Ovis aries: one gene and its partners. The protein of the gene in region 2 purifies or fractionates together with the protein of the main gene of each other region. This does not show direct contact. Links are inferred from orthologs where the notes say so. Each region holds a gene or a part of one and is shown on either strand. Other genes may lie near its edges. The genes, in order: FGFR1, CD44 and ERBB2.

Region 1 (7,393 bases), on a different chromosome or scaffold from region 2:
GTCCCAGCTAGGCATCTTCTCCCTGACAGACAGATGGCAGCAGCCTGAGTGCCTGCCTAAGCCCTTCCCCGCAATGGGTGGAATCCCACAGGCGAGGTGCCCACCGTCCTGTGTGCAGGCCCCCAGCAGGTTGATGATGTTCTTGTGTTTCCCAATCATCTTCATCATCTCCATCTCAGAGATCAGGTCCGACAGGTCTTTCTCTGTTGCATCCGCTGCGTGGACAAAGCAGAGAAAGGGATGGAGAAGCACTTGTGTCGGAAGGAAGGCCTACAGGACAAAAACTAAGGGAGGGGGATGAGGTAAACACCCAGGGGTCCCTTTCCTCTGGGACTTGCTTCTCTCTTTATGCGCCCCCGGTCCTTGGCTTTTTTTTTTTTCTTTTGGCGGCACCACAGGGCATGTGGGATCTCCTCTGCAGAGCAAGTGCAGAGACTTAACCGCTTGACTGCCAGAAGTCCCTCCTCTCTCCTTTTCACATCCAAATTTATCTCCCCTTCCCTCTTACGAGAGCTGCCAGTGTTGCCAAAAAAAAAAAAAGATCTGGGGTCACCAACTGATGACAGACGCCAAGGAACAAAGTGAGGTCATGGTGAGATGGCGGGGTGTGCAATGCCCCCCAACTCCAGGACAACCTAAGCAGGCTGTGGAGCAGGTGCAGGTAATAGCCTGAGGCCCAGAGTTTGCTTGGAAAGGGAAGGGGGTCGTTTCTGCAGGGACACAGGCACCACATACACTTTAGCATCTTCACGGCCACTTTGGTCACACGGTTGGGTTTGTCCTTGTCCAGCCCGATGGCCTCCGCCAACACCACCTGCCCAAAGCAGCCCTCTCCCAGTGGCTTGCCTAAAACCAGTCTTCAGGGAAACAAAGGGTGGGATAAGCTAGGGTGGTAATGTTCAAACCTGACAGGAACCCCCACTCCCCCTCCGCCTCCAGTTCCTTTGACTAAGAGCAGACAGTGGCAGTCACTTCTGGATGCTCCCCTGAAGGTCTGAGCCCACACCACTGCCCCCGTTAGAATAACGAGCTGGGGGGGCTGGGGGCGGTTACCTGTCCCGAGGCAGCTCCCAGCGAGGGTCTTCAGGAAGCTCATATTCAGATACCCCGGCCAGCATAGGGGTGCCGCTGGAGGAGAGACGCGAGGGCCGAACCAGCAAGACCCCGGAGTTCATGGACGCGCTGGAGTCGGCTGACACCTGCAGGGAGGCGTGGGGTCACCCTTCCAGAAGGGACAGGGGAGCAGCGGCAGGTCCCTTCCCTCCCCGCTCAGGCCTTGTTGCTAAAGTTAGAGGTGTGGACCTGGCATCCGGTGCTCCCTCCCCAACACAGGCAGAAAGGCCACAGGAGGTCGGAAGAACGAGGTTCTAACACTGACTTATGTTTGCCACCAACTCCTTTCTGGGTTTTGGATTACTCACCTTTCACATGAGTGTGACAGCCTGACATTCTGTAACTTGTCACTGCAAGAGCAACTCTCTTCCTGTCCTCATTCTTATGTGAAAACCCTGCTGTGGATGGGGGGTTCCTGACTCCCGAAGCCCCTTCCAGAATTAGCATGGCTCAGAGCGAAGCCTGCCTCCTTTTCTCATTTCACACACCTTCACCCTCTGTTCCATCTCCTGGGATGGGAGGTGGGCGCACAGGAGCGAGATGGCATCTTGGGACCCAGCTCAGCTCCTCTCCTCTGCACCTTTGCATCCCTAATGGGCCCTCAGGGGAAGCTCAGATTCATAATATGAGCTGGGCATTCAGTCCAGTGAGGACCATCTCCCAGTCCCCAGGCTGGCTGAGCAGGGTACTGTGGTTGAGGTAAGATGGGCTCACAGGATTCATCGGCCAGAAGAACTTGGAGCCTGACCCCAAGCACTTAGGACACTCTCCTGCTGCCACCCGGAAGCCGGACACCAAAGTCTGAAGTAGGGACCCTGTGGCAGGTCCCGCAGACCCCTCTGGGGTGCAGGGAGGACGCACAGGGTGAGGCAGAGCATGCGAACCCCCCGTCTACTTTCTGTTACCTGTCTGCGCAGAGGGATGCTCTTGGCTAGCTTGTGCACGGCCATCTGGCTGTGGAAGTCACTCTTCTTTGTGCCGCTCTTCATCTTGTAGATGATGACAGAGCCCACCATGCAGGAGATGAGGAAGGCCCCCGTGCAGTAGATGATGATCTCCAGGTACAGCGGCGAGGTCATCACCGCCGGTCTCTCTTCCAGGGCTGGGTCAGCGTGAACAGGACGTTAGTGGGCTCAGGGCAGGGCTGGTCCACTAGGGTCCCGGCTCCCTAAGAAACTCAACATCCATCTCCTAAACTCTGGGAGTCTTTGGGTTAGAGACAAACTGAGCTAGGTCCTAGATGGGATTGGGGTCCTGACACAGCACACAGCAGACATCCTGGGATCTGTGAGGCTCCCTGACCCTGACTTGAATCCCCAGAGGGATGGACTGTATCTTGCTAGCCGAATCCCATGCCCATGAACTCAGGAGCCCTGCTGGCTCAGGGACTGCTGGACTGGATGGGTACTTGGTGCCCTGCAAGAGACAGCTGAGCACTCATGCACGCTAGATGCCACTCAGTGTTCCCATGGACACACGGCCCTCCTCCACAATGCCCGAGCACTGGGTCAACACCTATCATGGGACAGCGAACGATCCGTTGGTCTTCCATTACTGATGGCCCAGGGGTACCCCGAGGGCCCAGGTGGCACCTCATCCATGTCTGCAGGCCACAGCGCCTGGCATCCAGTGGCACTCATAACGCAAAGACAATGATGCAGGGAGGAAAGAAGAAAACCAGCATATGTCCCGACTTCATTGCTCAGCTTTGCCTATGTCATCTATATCAGGTCAGACATGAAAACGTCTATACCTAGCCAAACTGCAGACAGAACTTCGCTTGCAAATGTCTGGATTATTACAGATAAACATGGAAACATCTCTTAAGACTTCCACTCACAGGTCTAACGCCTCACACTGAGCAAAGTCAGGGAGAGGGTTTTATTCATTTCTCCATTCAGACTCTCCCGCCTCCCACCCTCACTGAAGCCCAGGCAACTCAAGCCTCTTTCCCTCTCGCACGGAGGTGGAGAGGGTCCCATCCAGCAGGACATCCCTTCCCCCACCCCTCCCCTATTAAAGACCCCCGCTGGCCACAGGGGCCAGCACCCCGAGGACCTCCCCCAGGAGGCCCCAGGCATGACCCCAAACCAGCCCAAAGAACTCCCCAAGGTGCGACAAGGGACGGCAGAGCTGATAACGGAGAAGCGTTTCTGTTTTTCTCTTTCCCCAGCGTGGAGAAACAGAGACCATCCACTGGGAGGCACACAACACAGTACAAAGACAGTGATGAAAAAAGCAGAAAATGCTTCCGCGCCTCCAGTGGGCGTGCGTTATCAGAGGACGAGAGGGATGAGGAAAGAGACCAGAGTCCCAGGATGAGCAGCGCCGCGCCCAGCTCCAGCCCCGAGGCCGCCAGCCCACCACCCTGCACAGGCTGCAGGCTCCTGCCTTCCTGGCCCTACCTCCACAGCCCCCTCTGGAGAGGAGCTGCACTGGGAGCCAAAGAGGATAAACGGGCACCATCGAGCCCCCTGCGCTGCCTGGGAAAGGACTCGCTCAAAGCCGCTCAAGTCCTCTGTCTGGGTCTGGAGGAACCTCGCCCACCGAGATCAGCAAGGGGGAAGGTGGAGAGCATTGGTGCTTCCAAGCGGCAAGCCCCTCCCTTCAGAGCACCTATATTCAGTTACAGGGGGAGCCTCTCGGAGACTTCGGGGGCTGGCAATAAAGCAAGACTGCTGGACGCGAGGAGGGAAGGAGCCTGCCCTGAAGGAGAGCCCAGCTGCAGGTTAGATCCAGACCCCATGCATGTATCGCTCCAACCCGGGGGAGAGACGGAGGCAGGCCCACAAGTGAGAGCAATCTGAGATCCTGCACCAGGAGGAAGACTCCGGGGTGAGCTGAGAAGGTTTGATCCATGAGGCCAGATGACAGGCCGGATGACTTGCTGGAGCCGCGTGCTGCGTATGGAGCCCGGCTCTGTGTCTCCCCCGACCCTGCGATGCATGCTCCCCCCGTGGCCCTGGCGAGGGCAGGACATCGAGAGGAGGAGGACAGTGTATACCTTCCAGAACGGTCAGCCATGCAGAGTGATGGGAGAGTCCGATAGAGTTACCCGCCAAGCATGTATACTCCCCCGCGTCCTCAAAGGAGACATTCCTTAAGTGCAGCACCTCCATCTCTTTGTCGGTGGTGTTAACTCCGGCCGTCTAGAAGAGACAACGGAAGCCACATGGACAAGCCCGGGACCGGAGACCTCTCAGAGAGGGAACGAGGAGGAGGAAAGGGGGAAGAAAAAAATAACCAGAGGAAGAAAGGTTCCCCAGCGTCTCCTTTGCAACAACGGACAGACAAAAATCACCAGGCAGCGAGAAACCTGTTAGAGGAAGAGGGTGAGAGCCTGAGGAGGAACTCGGCAGACCTGACGGCGCAACGCGGATGGCTGGTTACACCCGTCACCAGGCGCAGCAGCCCCGGCCCAGCCCCGCATGCGGCGCGAGCGCATGGAGAAATGGGCCGGCGCGGGGGCTGTTTGGTTTCCAGAGGGGACACACAGGAGGAACAGAGGGGGCTGGCTGCAGCCTCACACAGACACTCATACCCGTACTCACCACCACACACACACCCTCACACCCACACAAATACCCCCATCCTACACCCTCAGACAAACACACCCCACACACACACTCACCCACACACATACCCCCCCACATCCCACACACTCACACACCCCACACACACACTGACACAGCCCCCCCACACATTCTCACTCCCTCACACTCTCACCCCCCCACACTCACCCACACAAATACCCCACACACACATATACCCCCACCACACACATACCCCCAAACACAACTCCTCAGTCACACACACACCCCCCACACACTCTCACCCCCCACACTCACCACCACACAAATACCCCCCACCCCCCACACATACACACAGCCCCCCCCCACACCCACACCTCCCCAGTCACACACACACACACACACACACCCCACACACACACTCACCCCCCACACTCACACCCACACAAATACCCTCCCACACACATACCCCCCCATCCCATACACACACACCCACATTCCCCCCACACACACATCGCTATAGACGCTGGTCCTCTCTCCTCTCCATCACTCGGACCCTCAGTCTCCAGGATCACCCAGGACGCACCCCACACGCAGCCAAGAACACACACAAGGCACAGAGGGGTGACACCAACACAGAACCGAACCAATCCAGCCGCCCAGGCCGGGTATTTTTCCATGGCTCCGGGCACTAGAAACAGCAGGCTCACAGGGAGAGTGGGGCGCTGGCCTCCCCACAGCTGCCCTGGCAGCTCGGGGCCTCCATCAACCCCCAGCACAAGGGCCCCTCCAGCTCCCCATTACCTTTTGCCACAGGTCTGGTGACTGTGAGCCACGCAGACTGGTTAGCTTCACCAATATAATTGGAAACCTTACACACATACTCCCCGCTCTGGGCCTCTGTCACATTGAACAGGGTCAGGACCTCCGCATCCGAGCTATTTATCCCCGAATGCTGGAACAGACCAACGACATGCTGTCAGTTGGGCCAACACAGAGATGTGGCCGTATTTGCTCCCGTGCGGTGTTAAGGTGGGCCCAGGAGCTAAGGCAAGAGGCTGAGGTGACGCTTATCCTCTTTCCCTCATTAGCAGGATAAAAAAGTGGACTTTAAAAATCCATGTGACTGAAAAACAAACTGAATGAAAAAAATCATTGCCCCAAGCAAATGTTTCATTTGTGTTAAACCCCCTCCTCCAGGAAGAGGGCAGAGATTGCCAATGGAGACAGCAGCCAAGGTCCAAGGCCCTGGGCCCACTTCCTACATGGCAGTTTCAGTGCCCAAGGTGAGGCGCGTGGTGGCTGGCTGGGAAATCTTTGGAACAGCCAAGCCAGGGAGGAGGAGGTCTAAGGCTGGGACCAGGAGGGAAAGCAGGTTCCCAGCTTCTGGTTACTTCCTGTTGCAAGATCCACTGGAGAATTAGGCAATTAGCTTCCCTGGATTAATGGAGCATTCAGGGACATTCGAAGTCTGGGAGTGGGAGGAAAAAAGAAAGTGCCATTACTCCTGAAACCGCTGAGGACTGACCCATGGCCTCAGCTTTTCCAGCCCTACCTAAGCTAAACCGTGCCTGGCATCAGCCCACGTGCCAGAAAGGATGTGACTCAGGAAGCAGGGCAGAGACTAGCAGATGCTTGCTGGGAAGGCTGTGGTGGTGGGCAGTGGGAGAGCAGAGTGCCAATGCCTTCCCAGAGAAGCTGACCTGAAAGCCTGGGTACGGTCACCGTCCAAGCTCTTTAGAAGCCAGCAGTGCTCACCCCCAGCCCTCAGCATCCTACGAGCCTTCACCCATGACCTGCCACTGGTCCTTTGGAAAGTGGCCAGGGGCCCACGTAAGATGGAGCCTGGACCCAGCAGAAGGACCGGGGCCCGATCGCAGGGACTGAGCCGGACCCCAGCCACCTGGGCCCCAGGAGATACAGGCCTCCTTCCCCGAGCCCAGCCCACGGAGACCGGAGCCAGGATTACCTTCAAGATCTGGACATAAGGCAGGTTGTCCGGCCCAATCTTACTCCCGTTCACCTCGATGTGCTTCAGCCACTGGATGTGGGGCTGTGGGTCACTGTACACCTTGCACATGAACTCCACATTGCTGCCCAGGGCCACCGTCTTGTTGGCCGGCAAGCCCGCCTGCAGGATGGGCCGGTGAGGGGACCGCTCTGGGGGGGCACGGGATGGGAGAGGGTCGTCAGGCCCTGCCGTGGCTGCTCCTGGCTGGAATGCTGACAGTATCCTAAGGACCAGCACAGAGACGCATTCCCGGACCAAGCCCAGCCTACCTGCCTGTAACTAAACCCACAGCCACTCAGACTCTTGCTGTTCAAACTGTGGTCTGGGTACTGCAGCACCAGCTTCACCAGCCTGTTAGAAACACTGACCCTCAGATCCTACCCTGGACCTCCTAGATCACAAGCTTGTATTATTATTATTATTTTTTTTGCTGCACTCCATGGCTCGTAGGATCTTAGTTCCCCAACAAGGGACTGAACCGAGCCATGGCAGGGAAAGTACTGAGTCCTAACCACTGACCCTCCAGGGAATTCCCCAGAAGCTTCTCTGCATACCATATCCTTAAAGCCAAGGCAGAACCCTGGCTGTGAAACTCTTTACCTTAAGGTCGCCAGAGAATGAGATTCAGAGCCTCTGGAAGGCAGAGGCTGCACCACAGCACCAAGAGGCACGGCGATCTTCCTAGTGTCTCATGCAGTGCCTGGAGTCTGTGTGGACTGACCTCTCTGAGCCTCAGTGT
Region 2 (7,844 bases):
AAAACAGCCACGGTCATTCCTTGTCCAGTGTTCTCTCCACGAAACTCACCAGGGCTGGTTTCTCACGTGATCAGAGCCTGAAGATCTGCCTGGAAGCCAGTTTGCCCCCAGTTGCTGAAGGAAAGTGTCCTCTTGGTCACAGATGGCTCGGCCAAGTCAGCTACTATTGTAGCGTTTATCAGCATACCTGTTGGTCAAGTGGGGCTCTTTGTTTCAGACGGGCCACCCCTTTGGACGTGGAATGTCAGCCACTGAGCAGCTGGGGAACAGTAAGTCCAGCGATCTTTCAGCTCCAAATACTCTCCCTGAAAATGCAAGAGGAACAGCCCCTAGTCAAGCAGGCTCTTCCCAACTCAAAACTCACACTGAACTACATAGCATTTGTTCTAAATGTTTGTCTCCCTGCAAGTTCATATGTTGAAATCTTAACTTCCAGTGTGAGGCTATTAGGAGGTGGGGCTTTTGAGAGGTAGTTTAGGTCATGTGAGTGGAGCTCCCGTGAATGGGATTAGTGCCTTTATAAGCAGATGCACACAAGAGAGCTTGTCCTCTCTCTCGCCCTCCATCCCCTTCTCTCCCTCTTGTGAGGACAGGACAGGACAGAGAAGATGACTCTCTGCAAACCAGAAGAGTGTTCTCACCAGAACCGGACCATACTGGCACCCTGATCGTGGACTTCTCAGCTTCCAGAACTGTGAGAAATAAATCGGTCATTTAAGCCACCCAGTCTATAGTACTTTGTTATGGCAGCCTGAACTAAAGCAGTAGGGATGGCTGCACAATTTCATGACTGCATGAAAAGCTACCTAATGGCTAAAATGTTAAATTTTCTATTAGGTGTATTTTAGTACAACAACAGCAACAGCAAAGTAAACTTTCATTGACTTCCTGTTTCTTAGGGATCAAGCTCAAACTTCCTAGTATAATTTACAAACTGGCCCCTGCTTACCCCCTAGCCTCATATCTTGCTGTCCTCCTTCAATCTTTTTATCTGATCAAATGTTCCAATTGCTCTCCAAAATAAAAAAGTGGTTACTTTGCTTTAAAAATGCTGGCAAGGCTCTTTCAGGGTCTCTTCACAGTTTCTGGTATCAGATTCAGTAGTCCAAGTTAGCAATAAATGCTGCACTTGCTTTTCAAATATTGTATCACAATGTTACAGATAGATATGGAATTATAGTGCAAAGTATGATTTTTTCAAACTCAAAATGAGGAATATGACAATCTCCTCCCTTTTCTGAGATTTGCTGAGTAGAATAGATTAGGATAGAAAGTGGATTAATATTCATGTAGATAGGAATATAAACGGGACCAAGAAAGAAGGGATCGATGTGTGGGTGGGTGAGAGGAGGGGTAAAATGATGAATGGATATGTAGATGATGGATGGATGGATGGATAGATAATGTGTGAGTACATGTATGAACAGATATGTGGGTATGGATGGATGGAGGGGAGAATAGTATATAGATGGATGTGGCTTTACAAAGAGATGTGAAAAGATTAATAGATGGATGAGAAGTTGTATGGGAGGGTGGTTGGAAGAAGATGTGGTTGATGGATGGGTAGACAGAATGGCTGGACAGGAGGCTGGGTGCATGTCAGTGCATACCGATGGACAGGAGGGTAAATAGATGTGTGAGCCCTGGAGAGACACAAGATAAAATGGGTAGATAGAGGAACCCGTGGGTGTTTGGGAGGATGAGTGAGAGTGTGAGTAAGCCAAGGAGGAATGGATAGACGGAACCAGGTGCCAGCCTGGGACCGGAAGATGATGTACAGGTCAGTAGAGCCAAATACCAGCCCCGTGGCTGGCTACCATTAGCTTTCCCTGAGCAGTCCTGCTAAGAATCAAAAGTCCACCCGAAGCGTGTTAATGAACTCCCTTCTCTTTCAAGGGAAGGTCGACGAGCTCTTCCTCCCTTCCCTGGAAGAATCGCAAGCTCCCGACCATGCGCAGGGGAAAACCACACTTCCACGGTCCCAGCCCCTCTCCCAGAATATCCAGCTGCCTGTGAAACCCACAGAGAAGAGTTCCCCAGCCTGAGTCAAAAGAGAAACTTCGCGGAGGGGAGAGGCCAGAGGCTGAACCCAAAGGGGCGAGGTTTCAGGACTCAGTTATTCCCTCCTGCGTCCAGAGGCTGCGCTCCCAGCCGCCAGGAGAGAAAAGTCGGTGCGTCCTGGGTGCACGGGGACCCCCTCGGCCCTCCGGGGTGCGCGCCCAGACACCCCGCTTTATTATCTCGGGGGAGAACGGGGCGGGGGCGGAGGGGCCAGGGCTAAGGAGAGCTGGTACGTCTTTAAACTTCTGCGGGCTGCTTAGTCACAGCCCCCTCGCTTGGGTGTGTCCTCCCTCGCTCCCTCCCTCTTAGGTCACTCTCAACCCTCGAATAAAAACTGCACCCAACTTCCGAGGCGCCCTCATTGCCAGCCGGACCCCAGCCTCCGACAGGTTCGGGCGCCCTGCTTGCCCCGTGCTTCGCCGGCCCCCGCCCAGCGCCCGGCCCCTCCGGCTCCACTCCGCTCGCTCGGTCGGTCGCTCCGACGCCATGGACACGTTTTGGTGGCGCGCAGCTTGGGGACTCTGCCTCGTGCAGCTGAGCCTGGCGCAGATCGGTGAGTGCCCGCCCGGACGGGAGGGAGTGGCCCGGACCCAGCCGGGCGGGCTCCGTTGGCCCTGGCGGGGTCGGGGTCAAGTGGGCGGCGAGCGGCTGGGATTTGGCGAAGGAGGACCGGGCGAGGATTTGCGCTAAGCTCTTGGAGAGCCTGTCGTTGGGAAGCACCGTTTTGTGGAACGGCAAAAAGAAAGGGCGCAGAAAAGTTTGCTGGGCAGCAGGCTGTTGGCGCGCGGTTTGGGGTGGGGTGGTTGGAGCCGGTGGAGCACAAGGAACTGTACTCCTGGGTGCGCGCAGCCTGTCTGGACTAACACACTCCTGTGCCCAAGGGCACTTCAAGCCAGGCTGCGCAGGGCAGGGACAGGGGCTGGGGTAGGGACAGGGGTGCTAGCGAGGTGGCCATAGAGGTGGGCACTGTTGCCCTCTGTGAGGGTTGGTGGCAACAAGCTTCCCAGAATGGGGTCCCGCGTTCCTGTGGCTCTCCCATTTCACCTAGGTTCCAAAGCTCTTACAGTTGGCTCCAGTCACGAACAATCTTAACGCTTGTGGGAACTTGAACCTTCTCTGTGGCAAGGTTCTGGGTCGCCACGAGGTGCCAGCCTGGGGCAGGGAGTGTGAGTAGGATAGGCAGTGACTCGGCCAGCTGCTCCATCCTGGCAACCTCCTGCAGGCTGCCAATCAGTTAGGGGAAATCCAGACAGTCATGTGGCTCCCAGTGGGTGCCTGGCAGCCTCGGAGCAGGACAGAGAAGCAGGCTCCTGGGTGGCATCAGGGATCCCGGCGCCTGTATCCCATCCCCACAGGGTCCGTTCTTCTCAGGGGCTGTCGAGGGGGTGGCTGCGTGTGAGGTATTCTGGCAAGGCTGAACTCCAAGCATTCCTTTTCTTTGTCTTTATATGTGCAGATAATTACATGGCTGATTTGCTTATCGCTAGCAAAATTAATTTTTCTTTTAAGAAGTGCCAGCTGGGTCATTAAGACAGCTCAACCTATGGTTAATTCTACTCAGCAAGTGTTTATTAAACCCAGCTCTGGGGGTACCAGGAAAGTAAGAGACACAGTCCTACCGGGGTACTTTAGACTGAGAGGATAAGTGAGGGTCTAGGATTTAGATTCCTGAATCAGAAAAGTAATAATTAATAATAATAATTAACAGTAATCATAATGGCAGCACCAGCCACCATTTATTATACATTTGGGCTGGGCCAGGCACTGTGCTAAATTCTTTACACGCGTTATCTCGTTTTACCCTCAACAATGGCCCACTGAGAAGTGTCCTGTCGTTAGCCCCGTTTTGCAGGAGGGCAGCAAACCGAAGCTCAGAGAGCTTAAGTGACTTGTCTGTGTTCACACAGTCAGAAGACTGCTGGTTCTGTGAACCAAGCTTCTTTGCCTGTTGCTTGGTTAGCACTGGTTAAGCTGCATGTATGATATGGACAAACAGCAGCGTGATATGGACAAACTCAGAAAGGATTTTATGAAGGAGGTGGTGGACCAGAGGCTTTAGAGGAGGCTTTCAAAGGGGAACTGGAGCTCCAGGGATCTCTTGAAAGGCAGAGAGACTTGGGATGGGAGAGAGCAGGGAAAGATTTCAGGGAGAGCTGTGAGCCTGGCCTCAGGGAAGAGGAACCAGGCTGGTGTCTCTCTCTGTCTCTCTCTGTCTCTCTCTGTCTCTCTCTCTCTCTCTCTCTCTCTCTCTCTCTCTCTCTCGCCTATAAGGAAGTCCATTTGTATGTTACCTCCCTGGGGCATCTTCTGCTTTGCTTCTGAGGATTTCGACTCCTGACTCCTTCCATCCTGTAGCGCAAATTCTTCTAAAGGGCCCCATCCCCTGATATTTGGCACTGTCCTGACCCTTGAAGTTCCTCCCTTCCCCCCAGATGGGCAGGCTTACTCCTGCTCTGGGTTTCCGTGGTCCCTTTGGGGAGCGTCATTTGGAGGAAGCGCAAAAAAATGCCAGTAGCGATAGCTGCCTGGGCCCAGGCTTTCATGCACTTGTTAAGCTCTTTGGAAGGAACTGAGACTTGGGAAGGAGATGTGAGTTAACAGTGGGCTCGGGCTGGGCTGGCAGAGAGAGGAAGGACAAAGAGGAGGCGGGAAGACTCTTCTGGTGCCCCACCAGCGAAGGTGGTGGGCTCCAGAGGACAATGTGGACATTTCAGCAAGTGGCAAGGCTTTGGGGAGGAAGAAAGGGTCTGATCTTCATACTGAAAAGCAAGAAGTAGAGACATAGCCAAATACAATTAAGCAGCGTTGGACCCAAACTCTAAGTTGGAGAACAGATCTGTTGAACTACATTTCACACGTGGAAGGACGAAAGTAACCCTGGATAAAGAGCAGTGAAGTGAGCCCTCTATACCTGCCTGCCTCCTGTCCTCTGTGGGTGAGAGGTCCTTGCTAGAGAATTGTGCCCCTGGTGTTTAGAAAGAGGGGTGCAGCTAAGAGCTCTGGGGCTTTGGGGGTGGCTGGCACCCTTCTGATCCCTCTGAGCCTTAGAGACCCCTCTTTCTGGGAGTTAGACTTTTGGCTGTGTTTTCCCAGGAGAAGCAGCAACGAAGCCAACCTCCATTCCCGCTGAGGTTGGTTAGCATCAGTTAATTCAGTTGTTCCCCAGATACACAATGGCCATCTTCCTTCCTACAAAGGCACAGTGCCAAGTAGGTGTGTTTGAGTTTTGCAGCCAGTAGAAAAAGTTTCCGTTCTTTTTCCAGTTTGGCCCACGCAATTTGGAGAGGCTGCAGGGCAGTGTGAAATTCTTAGTTTATGACAGATCCCTTTCCACTCATTCAAGAAATATTTCTTGACTCACTATTGTAGATTCAGAGATGGGGACTCCAAGAATCATTTAGAAAAACCCTTTCTTTTTCCCAAGGAGGAAACAGGTCCCCAAAGAGAGAAAGGTGACTTCCCCTGTCTCTCAGGCCGAGTGTTAGCACAGGACGCTTTCCAAACCTCAGGGCTCTGAAATACCTTAATCCTCCAGGACTGAGCCCACTGCTTACAGTGGGTGGGGAATGTGTGGTCTACAGAGGTAGCAACGTTTGTTTCACACCTTTAGTTGCTGTCTTAAACACTCGATACAATTTTATATTTTCCTCCACAGTATACCCAGTTTGAGTTTAACCTAAGAATAAAGATGATAACTTTCTTCTTATCAAGCAAAGTGGCTGCTTGGGGTAGAGCCTCTGTACTGTCCAGAGCCTCCTGGGGTGTTGCTGAATCCCTCTCAGTTAGCAGCATTCCAGCTTTAAAAGCCTGACACTCGGTTCCTCTATGAAGTAGGGTCCTAAATCTGCAGGCAATACCATTTACCGAGCGCTGACCCTGGTGGCTCAGTGGTAAAGAATCTGCCAGCAAGGCAGGAGACCCAGCAGATGTGGGTTCAATCCCTGGCTCAGAAAGATCCCCTGGAGGAGGAAATGGCAACCCACTCCAGTATTTCTGCCTGGAAAATCCCATGGATGGAGGAGCCTGGAGGGCTTCACAGTTCATGGGGTCACAAAGAGTCGGACGCAACTGAGCACGCATGCACACAGCTTCATACGAGGCATTCAGCCATGGGCTTTGAACAGGTTATCCTATATAAGCTTCACAACAGCCCTGTGTGTGTTTAGCAATCTTTTCATTCCATTTTCCAGATAAAGAAGTTGAGAGGCTCAGGGAGATGGAATGACTTGCCCGAGGACACACAGCTAGTATGAGTGATGGAGTTGGGGTCCTCTGTTGTCTCACATCCTCTGTGTTAAGACTCCAGTGCCTGTGTTGCTTTGATTCATTATTTGCCTCTGGAGGACTCTGGAAATTGTGTGAGGCCAGCAAAAGTGAAGCCTGGGATGAGTGGCTTTCCTCTTCCCTGGCAGGCTGAGAACTCTTGGCTGCCCTGCTCTGCCCTGGCCTGTCTCTCTCCAGTCCTGGCCACAGCTGTCGAGAGATGCCAACCTAGCTATTTGTTACTAAAATAAGTCAATTCCCTTATCAGAGTCCAGCTGCCCTTCCAGACATGCTCTCATTTGCAGGCTTGGAAAAAAGGGAGAGGCTGTTGCTTGTCTAAGAGACAAGTCAGGGCAAGGCTTTCTGCCTGGAAACGGAAAAAAAAAAGGGGGGGGTCCTTGCAGAGGCTCTGACCCTGCAGACATTCTAGGTGCGATGACCCAGGAAGCCCCCTTGTTACATGGTCAGTGGAAACCCTCAGCGTTTAGCAGGTTGTGTGTGCCCCAGTGAGGAGGAGTGTCGAGAACCCGGGCGATGGGCTGATACGGTTTCTTGAAAAGGCAGGGATCTTGAACGGAATGTCAGTGTGGGGTGCGATGTGACACGTGACCACTCAAGTGAGATTTCAGTTTGGCCTTGAGTGTCAGACGGTTCCAGGTGGGGAGTCCCTGATGAAGAGGAGGTTGTGAGAGGGAAGTGGGCCTCCCCCGGCCACCCATCCTGGCTGGGATGGGGGCTGAGTTACAGGCTACCCTTGTATTTCCCCTGCACCTCTTTTTAGTTGACTCCACCAAGAGACTGAAAGGGAAGTGGGTCTTGTGAAAGAATGAACTGAAGCAGGTGGCAAATCCCGCCAGACCGAGTGGAGTTCTCAAAGGGGATCTTTTCTGCTTCAGAGAGAATGTCTGAGGGGTTGCACAGCCAGATGCTGATGACTCAATTTCCTTTGTGTCTTTGCTTCAATGGGAAACACACCAGTGTTCTCTAGACTCGCCAGGGGAGGCTAATGCCTTCAACCTTAAGTTGGAACGCCACTCTTAATCCCTTAGCAAGTTAATATTTTTCTTAAAAAGTGTGCTCCCTCGAAGCTGCCCAGCAAGGATTTGGGAAGACAGCCCGATCTGCCAGAGTGTTTTCTAAAGTGTGTGGTTGTGGGATCTGGTTTGGCATGGACACGGCGGTTGAGAACTCTGGATCTTACAGGAGGGTCAGGATTTCAAACATGCGTATATTTTACCAGTTGAAGTCCAATGTATAGTTTTGACTTAATATAGAGTTTTTCTACGAATAAGTGCATGACTTTGTGTGATTAGAAGTCAGACACTTGCATGGATTTTTGCATAAGTGAAAATCACATCTCTACAGCTCATTATTCAGCCTAATTAAATTACTATCCAATTAAATTACTATCTGGTTCAGAAAATTTATACTTTGGAGAGGAACATTTGTGCCCCTCTGCTCTCTCTCTCTCTTGATCATCCCAATATGTGAAGCCCCAAGAAAAATGACATACTGGGTTT
Region 3 (7,393 bases), on a different chromosome or scaffold from region 2:
CATGCGATGGGAGCACTAACCCTGGTGGATGTGCTGCGGTGCCTGCGGTGGGCCGTGCCTCCAGCTCCTGGGGCAGGGTCTGGGCAGAAGAAGCCCTGCTGGGGTACCAGGTACTCCTCCGCATCCACCAGGTCTCCCATGTCGTCATCCTCCAGCAGCGAGCGGTAGAAGGTGCTATCCAGGGGGCTAGCAGGGCCCAAGTCTTCATTCTGGGGAGGAGGGAGACGCATGGCAGCCTCTCCCCAGCCCAGTACGCAGCCTCCTAGGGGTGGCTCAGGGAGGGCTAGAAGTCTGATGAGTCAGGCAGGAGCTTGGAAGCCTGGGACCCAGGAATCATTCTTCCTTTCCTCCCTTCTAAGGGAGAGTGCTCTTAGCCATAGGCAGGGATGGGGTGAAAGGTTCAGTACCTGGATGACCACAAAGCGCTGGGGGTCCCTGGCCATGCGGGAGAATTCAGTCACTAACTCCCGGAACCTCGGCCGACATTCAGAGTCAATCATCCAACCTGGGGGTGGGCAAGAGCCTGGCATCTCAGTTCTGGCTGCAGCCTGCATGCAGCGCCCCTCACCCTCACGCCCAGTCTAGACAACACTAGAGTCCAAAGCCCTCTGATGATGGAGAATCTACCAGTTTCTCCTTTTTACTTTGGATCAGTCTTTTTTCCTAGCTGGCCCTCGCTAGCTCCTCTGGACTGGTACTGTAAAAGGGCAGGGAGAGCCTTCTGAGACCCATTAACCTTATCACCATGCTCTTGGCCCATGCCCCTTGTAGGCCCATCCGCCCAGGACCACCCACCCCTCCTCCAAGCAGCCAACACAGCTCAAGAACGTACATTTGACCATGATCATGTAGACATCAATGGTGCAGATGGGGGGCTGGGGCAGCCGTTCTCCCTTCTCCAGCAGGTCAGGAATCTCCCGGGCTGGGATCCCATCATAAGGTTTGGCCCCAAAAGTCATCAGCTCCCACACAGTCACACCTGGGGCATAGATGGGGTGGGAGGACCAGAGGCAGCTTTAGTGTACGGAGCCTCAGAGGCTCTGCCGAAGAGCCTGGCACCATGGGGGAAGGAGGAAAGATGCAATGCCAAAGGACAGGAGATAACTTGGTCTTTTCCCAGTCCCTGGGAAGCACACACACTCTGGCAGCCTGAGGCACTGGCAGCCACTTCCTTCCTTCTCACATTTATACCAAAGGTGTCTATCAGTTCACCCCATCCTTCCACCCACATTCTCCCCAGGGCCATGGCTCCTTGTCCACCCTCCCTACCCACTCCATCACACACCATAGCTCCACACGTCACTCTGGTGGGTGAACCGCCGGCGGAGAATGGACTCCAATGCCATCCACTTGATGGGCACCTGGTAGAGCAGAGAAGGAAGTCCTCCAACCAGGTCTGAGTTCTCCCAGGGGCCAGACCCCACTCCCCCTTGTTTCGGTTTGCTCCTCTAACCTTGCCCCCATCTGCGTGGTACTCTGTCTCGTCAATGTCTAGCAGTCGCGCTAGCCCGAAGTCTGTAATCTTCACATGGTTGGGACTCTTGACCAGCACGTTCCGGGCAGCCAGGTCCCTATGCACGAGCCGCACATCCTCCAAGTAGCTCATCCCCTGGGGTCAGAGGCATCAGTGTGGACCTCGCTCTGCCAAAACTCTCCCAGGAAACCTCCCTATCCAGAGGCTTGCTCCCCAAGGGCACCTGCAGAGCCCTGGCCCCCAAAGTGCATACCTTGGCAATCTGCACACACCAGTTCAGCAGGTCCTGGGAGCCCAGGCGCCCACGGTGTTCTCGGACGTGGTCGAGGAGGCAGCCATAGGGCATAAGCTGTGTCACCAGCTGCACTGTGGATGTCAGGCAGATGCCCAGGAGGCGGGACACATATGGGGAGCCTACACCAGCCATCACATATGCTTCCTGGAAACAAGGGCACACACTGAGAGGGTATGGGAAACCACTAACCCCCAACCACCACACACCCCTCCCAAGGGCTAAGCCATGATAACGGGCCCTCCGCCAACCCAATCCCATTCATCACAAATCGGAACCATGGCCCACAGACTAGGGAGGGTAAGAGTAGACATTTGGGGGAATCACAGGGTGTCCCCCAAAACCCCAGTGAAGAGAGAGAGAGCCCAGTCCCCCATACCCCCAGCTGGACAGGGTGGAAGGGCTTACGTCCAAGATTTCCTTGTTGGCTTTGGGAGATGTGTTTTCCCTCAACACCTTGATGGCCACGGGGATTTTCACATTTTCCCCATCGGGGATCCAGATGCCCTGGGCAGAGAGGAGGATGTGAGCAAAAGGACCGGCCAGATCAACCTGCAGCCGTCCTACTTGGGGTCACTGCTTGTGCTCCCAATTCCCTCCCCAACCCTTGGGCCAATCCCATTATTTAGCAGCAGCCTCACCATTTAGACCCACTGGCCACTCCCAATCCCCTATCCTTAAGTGCCTACTCAACTGCACCACCCGCGGTTCCTGGCTGTTGTCCCAGCACACCCTCCGCCACACCCTGCAGCATCCTCTAGGACCGCCCACCCGGGGACTTTGGCCCCACCCCTGACCTTGTAGACGGTGCCAAAAGCTCCAGATCCTAGCACCTTCACTTTCCTCAGCTCTGTCTCTTTTAAGATCCGCATCTGAGCCTGATTGGGCATCGCTCCGCTGGGCGTCAGGGGCTCCACCAGCTGGGGTGAGGGGGTAGTGGGTCAGTGCTGCAGGTTGGGCCGCAGACCCCAGAGCTCGAGAGAGACCCTCAGGTCGCCTCACCTCCGTCTCCTGCAGCAGCCGCCGCATTGTATACTTCCGGATCTTCTGCCGCCTTCGCTTAATGAGGATGCCGAACACCAGCCCCACAAGGACAACCAGCAGAACGCCCACCACAGCGGCAATGATGGATGTCACAGGGCTGGGGGCAGGAGCCAGGATCATGGATTGGGGACCAGTCTGGGGCAGGGGGGATGAAGGGGTCCCACGGTGGGGCGCGGTGGGGTGGGGGGAGGAGGGAGAGGGGGCTGACTGTCACTGGCATTTGGAAAGGGAAGTCAGAAGGGTGACCCACAGGCTCCCATCCTGTCTGACCTACTCTAAAATCCATCTTGGCTCCTTACTGTCTGGGAAATAAAGTCCAGACTCCTTGCTAAGATTCAAAACCCTCTACACCTACATCTCCAAGTTGTCTATGCTCTTGCCCATGGCTCTAGCCCAGGGTTCTTGTCAACCTGTGAGAGTACGGAGCTCCACCCTCCAGAGACTTTGACTGTGGTATGAGGTGGGGCCCAGGAAGGTGCACACAGAGATTCTGATGTTCTAGCCAGAATTTTCACCCATAGGTCACGATTTCCAAATCTCCCAGCCGTTGTTATAATACTTCTGCCTGGATCACCATTTCTGCATGAGGTCATCTTTCAAGACTCTGCTTATCCTAGGATAGAAGGATCTCCTGGGCACTGACCCTACATCCTTGTCATCCTTGTTCCCCTCCCTTGCTTAGCCAAGGGCTGGCTTATCACAGACCTCAAATGGACCCTTATGTCATGGACAAATGCTTACTCAGGACACACTCCGATCTTTTTCTCCCTAAAACCCTTCCCAAAACACCCCTCTGCCTAGAAATCAAGTCCAGCGATGGTAGTGATGGACATCACAGGGCCTGTGGCCTCATGGTAGGGGAGAGCCTATGCCCTCCAGATCCGGCCCTGAACTGACTCAGACTTCACCCCCTACTCCTTCCTCTGTGCTTAGTCAGTTACCCACCACAGCAGAATCTTCAGCAAATACATCCTAGACTTTCTGGACACCTCTTACCATGCTGCCTGGTTGCTTTCCTAATACAAGTGACATTTCGCGCCCCTCTTTCAAAACCTAGCTCATGTGCCTGAAGCCTCCCACTGACCCCAGGGAAGTATTCACTGTCTCTCCCTCAGTGCTGCAGCCATGCTCTCTTCTCAACGTGCCTCGAGTCCCAGGGAGTTGAAGGCTGCCTGTGTCCCTTATGAGACCCCCAGCTATACAGGGAGGGTGGGGAGGTGCTGGGTGTCTTCCTACCCCCTGACCCCCAAGCAAGCCGAGCAGGCCTTCCACCCACTGCATGTGTGTGTGCATATGTGCTGAGCCTCCCAGTTGTGTCCACCTCTCTGCAACCCCGTTGAGTGTAGCCAGCCAGGCCTCTCTGTCCATGGGATTTCCGAGGCAAGAATACTGGAGTAGGTCGTTATTTCTTACTCCAGGGGATGTTCGCAGCCCAGAGATTGAACCCCAGTCTCTTGTGTCTCCTGCACTAGCAGGCCAATTGACCCCTGCACCACCTGGGAAGCCCCTCCATCCCCTAGTTGAAGCTAACTGAAAGAAGCATCCACAGTGGAAGAGTGGGCTGGGGAGGACACGTGTCATGTCAGGACATGACACCTAGCAGCAGGGACCACCCAGGGGTCAGTGGGGAACTGAGGGCAATGTGGGGTGCATTCTGGGGACCAGGCTGACCTGGCTCTCTGCTCGGCGGGACAGCCCTTGTCATCCAAGTCCACACAGCTGCAGGAGAGAGAGAGTCCCGTCAACAAGGCTGGGAACCACCTCCTGCACTCACTCCAGCCTCACAGGATCCCAGGAGGTGGGTGTGACTGGGTTAGGATCCCCACTTGACAAAGGCAGAAACTGGGTTCGAGGTCACCAGGGCTCTTTCTACCATCCCACGGGGGAGTCCTCCAGTCTGTAAACCCATATCATTTGCACCTCCCTGTGGTGGGAAGGAAGTGGTGGCACCCAAAGGAGCATCGGGTTCAAGAGCTTAGCCATCTCCTCTGTAGAGGAAGCCAGCGTAAACTACTACTGTAGTCGGGCAAACTCCCGCAGTTCCTCCTGTCCTCCCAGCGGTTCCACCTCTGGGGATAAACCCTGAAAATGCCAACACCTGTACACTAGGGGGCATGTACAAGATGCTCACTTGTACGTGGAGCTCAAGTGCAATAAACTGCCAAAAAGAGAAAAAAGGAAACAAGTTCAGTCAGTACTCTCAGGCAGGGACACAACTAAATAACTCTACATCCATACTGCAGATTGAGTAGTTAAAAAAAAAAGGAGTTAGATTGATATGCATTCACAGGAAAGGACCTCCAAGATACATAAAGGGGGGAAGGTGTGGGGGAGCAAAGTGTATATGAGTCAAATAAATTGCTGAGAAATAGATGAGCTAGATGAAACTGTTGTTTCTTGATCATTTTTGACTTCTAAAAACAGCAATCTTATATGACTCAACGTAACATATACGTAAAATGCACTTATGTAAATATGTGCAGAAAAGCCTGGAGGAATGCACATTCCAGAGTGACCTGGTAGTTCTCTCCAGGGAGGGGAGGGGCAGTGGGAGAAAGGGCACTTCTGCTTTACACTGTTTACTTTGATACTGCTAAAAATATGTCTTACAAGAATGTATGCACGTGTTCCACGTGTTATCAAAAACAACTAAGTAAAAAAATAAAAAGAGCAGGGCGGATCACTATATTAGCACATGAAAAAGCATTGCAAGAAAAACTGCAGTGTTACGTGAGAAAAAGCAATTGGCAAACAATAGGTATGGTCTATGCTCCTATTTTTGTAAAAAGAAATATAGACTAGAATGTGCACAGATAAGAATTGGAGAATAAAAATAATATATAAACATATTTTATATATTATATAATAATACATGTTAGCATGTGCACATATAAACTGGAGGGAAAATATGGCAAGTTATTAACAGTGGAATAGAACTGTTAATACTATTAATTTATCCATGCTTTAATTTAAAAAATTTTAACAATATGTATTACTTTTGTGATCAGGAAAAAAAAAAGATAAAAATGTTAAGGGCCTTGGGGTAAGCAAAGGCAGAGATGTCCCACTTTTTACAATAAGAGCCTCAGAGAGTCTCCTGGAACAAGCCCTTCTTTATATGGGGAAGGCCCTCAGACTCACGAGTGGGTGCAGTTGATGGGGCATGGCTGGCATATGCCCTCCTCATCTGGAAACTTCCAGATGGGCATGAAGGAGAGGTCAGGCTTCACACCACTGGGGCAGCGAGCCACGCAGAAGGGAGGATCCTTGTAGTGGGCACAAGCCACACATTGGTCAGCCTCCTGGGAGGGAAGAAAGGGTTTGTGGGAGGCTGGCACTGATACCCCCGGGGCAGCAAGATCAGGCCCCTGGGTCCCCTTGGTGCTTCCCATGGCCACTCAGCAGCACTTTTCACCTTGCTTTTGGAACAGCCCCAGACCTGCTATGTCTGCTGCCCCTGTTCTGCACCCAGCTCCCTGGTGCTCAGACACAGTGCCAAACCCTATTTTAAGTTAATTCTTACTGTATCCTAATGGGGTGGGTACTAGCATAACATTGATTTCACGAATGAGCCAACTGAGGTTGGAAGTGACACCTGGATTTGAATCCAGGTAATCTGATGCCTGAGCGCCCAGGTCTAAGCGCCTTGGCACTGCCACAACCACGCGCACAGGCCTCCCTGGGCCTTCTGCATGGTCGGAAGGGTCTCAGGGTCCACAGTTCTTGCCGTTCCCAGCATCCCAGCCTCCTTCCACTCTCCTGCTGTTCAGGCCTGGGCTTGGAGCCCTCCCCAGGGATATTTCACTGGACTTGGCCAGGTCCCTGGCAGCTGACCCCTCAACCCCGCCCTGCTTCCCACCACTCAGCTCTGAGCACCTCACCGAGCCAAAGCAGGTCACTGAGCCATTCTGGGGAAGACACTCGGGGTGGCACGGCAGACAGTACCTGTCCTTCACGTACTCCCGGGGAAGCCTGAGGGGAGCACAGCCAGTGAAGGGGTCTGGAAGGAGCCCCTGCGCACCTCCCCCACCTCCTGGCCGCCCCCTCCTCCGCCCGGCATACCCCTGTAGTCCCTGTAGTACTCGGCATTCCTCCACGCATTCCTGGCCCCGAAGGAACTGGCTGCAGTTGACGCACTGGGTGGGCCCGGGACCCCAGCAGTGCCCTTGGGCGCACAGTGGGTAGCAGGCCAGGCCCTCACCCACTGCAGTGAGGAGGAAGGGGTCAGAGGGGACTCATGGGAGGTCCCAGGTCCCACGGAGGCGGGGGTGGGGGGTGGGAGCGGGGTTTATGGGCGTGGCTCTGGGCTAGAGAGGCGGGATAGCTGCCGAGCACAGCAGGGAGAAAGTTCTGAGGTTCCAGGAACAGAGCAAAGGGAGGGGAGGGATGCCAAGGCAGTGTGGCCGGACCCAGCTAGAAGCCACGCCAAGAGGCCAGGCCAGCCAGAGCTGGGTCAGCGATGGTGCACCTGGGACGGGCAGTACACATGCACAAGGGAAGTCCCAGATTGCTGCCCCCAGAGGCCCCTGGGCGCACCCGCGCGCTGGCAGACGCGGAGCATGCAGCACCGGGCTGTCTTACCG

What was found.
Region 1: the proteins of CD44 (region 2) and FGFR1 purify together in Homo sapiens (affinity purification with mass spectrometry; 3 studies listed by BioGRID and IntAct, counting the BioPlex papers as one, with this or other methods). This does not show direct contact. The link is inferred for Ovis aries from reciprocal best matches to the Homo sapiens genes CD44 and FGFR1.
Region 3: the proteins of CD44 (region 2) and ERBB2 purify together in Homo sapiens (affinity purification with western blotting; 3 studies listed by BioGRID and IntAct, with this or other methods). This does not show direct contact. The link is inferred for Ovis aries from reciprocal best matches to the Homo sapiens genes CD44 and ERBB2.

The regions. Positions count from the first base shown.
Region 1 is NC_056079.1:32,644,274-32,651,666, forward strand, and holds part of FGFR1 (fibroblast growth factor receptor 1), read right to left. Parts: intron 6,804-7,393; coding exon 6,613-6,803; intron 4,263-6,612; coding exon 4,118-4,262; intron 2,216-4,117; coding exon 2,012-2,215; intron 1,200-2,011; coding exon of another isoform or gene 1,199-1,199; coding exon 1,054-1,198; intron 858-1,053; coding exon 736-857; intron 216-735; coding exon 105-215; intron 1-104. UniProt on the Homo sapiens protein: Tyrosine-protein kinase that acts as a cell-surface receptor for fibroblast growth factors and plays an essential role in the regulation of embryonic development, cell proliferation, differentiation and migration.
Region 2 is NC_056068.1:64,455,362-64,463,205, forward strand, and holds the start of CD44 (CD44 antigen), read left to right. Parts: upstream 1-2,421; 5' UTR 2,422-2,547; coding exon 2,548-2,614; intron 2,615-7,844. UniProt on the Homo sapiens protein: Cell-surface receptor that plays a role in cell-cell interactions, cell adhesion and migration, helping them to sense and respond to changes in the tissue microenvironment.
Region 3 is NC_056064.1:39,831,414-39,838,806, reverse strand, and holds part of ERBB2 (receptor tyrosine-protein kinase erbB-2), read right to left. Parts: coding exon 7,392-7,393; intron 7,015-7,391; coding exon 6,873-7,014; intron 6,783-6,872; coding exon 6,692-6,782; intron 6,113-6,691; coding exon 5,952-6,112; intron 4,969-5,951; coding exon 4,942-4,968; intron 4,530-4,941; coding exon 4,482-4,529; intron 2,908-4,481; coding exon 2,769-2,907; intron 2,687-2,768; coding exon 2,564-2,686; intron 2,274-2,563; coding exon 2,175-2,273; intron 1,914-2,174; coding exon 1,728-1,913; intron 1,610-1,727; coding exon 1,454-1,609; intron 1,362-1,453; coding exon 1,286-1,361; intron 980-1,285; coding exon 833-979; intron 506-832; coding exon 408-505; intron 210-407; coding exon 21-209; intron 1-20. UniProt on the Homo sapiens protein: Protein tyrosine kinase that is part of several cell surface receptor complexes, but that apparently needs a coreceptor for ligand binding. Essential component of a neuregulin-receptor complex, although neuregulins do not interact with it alone.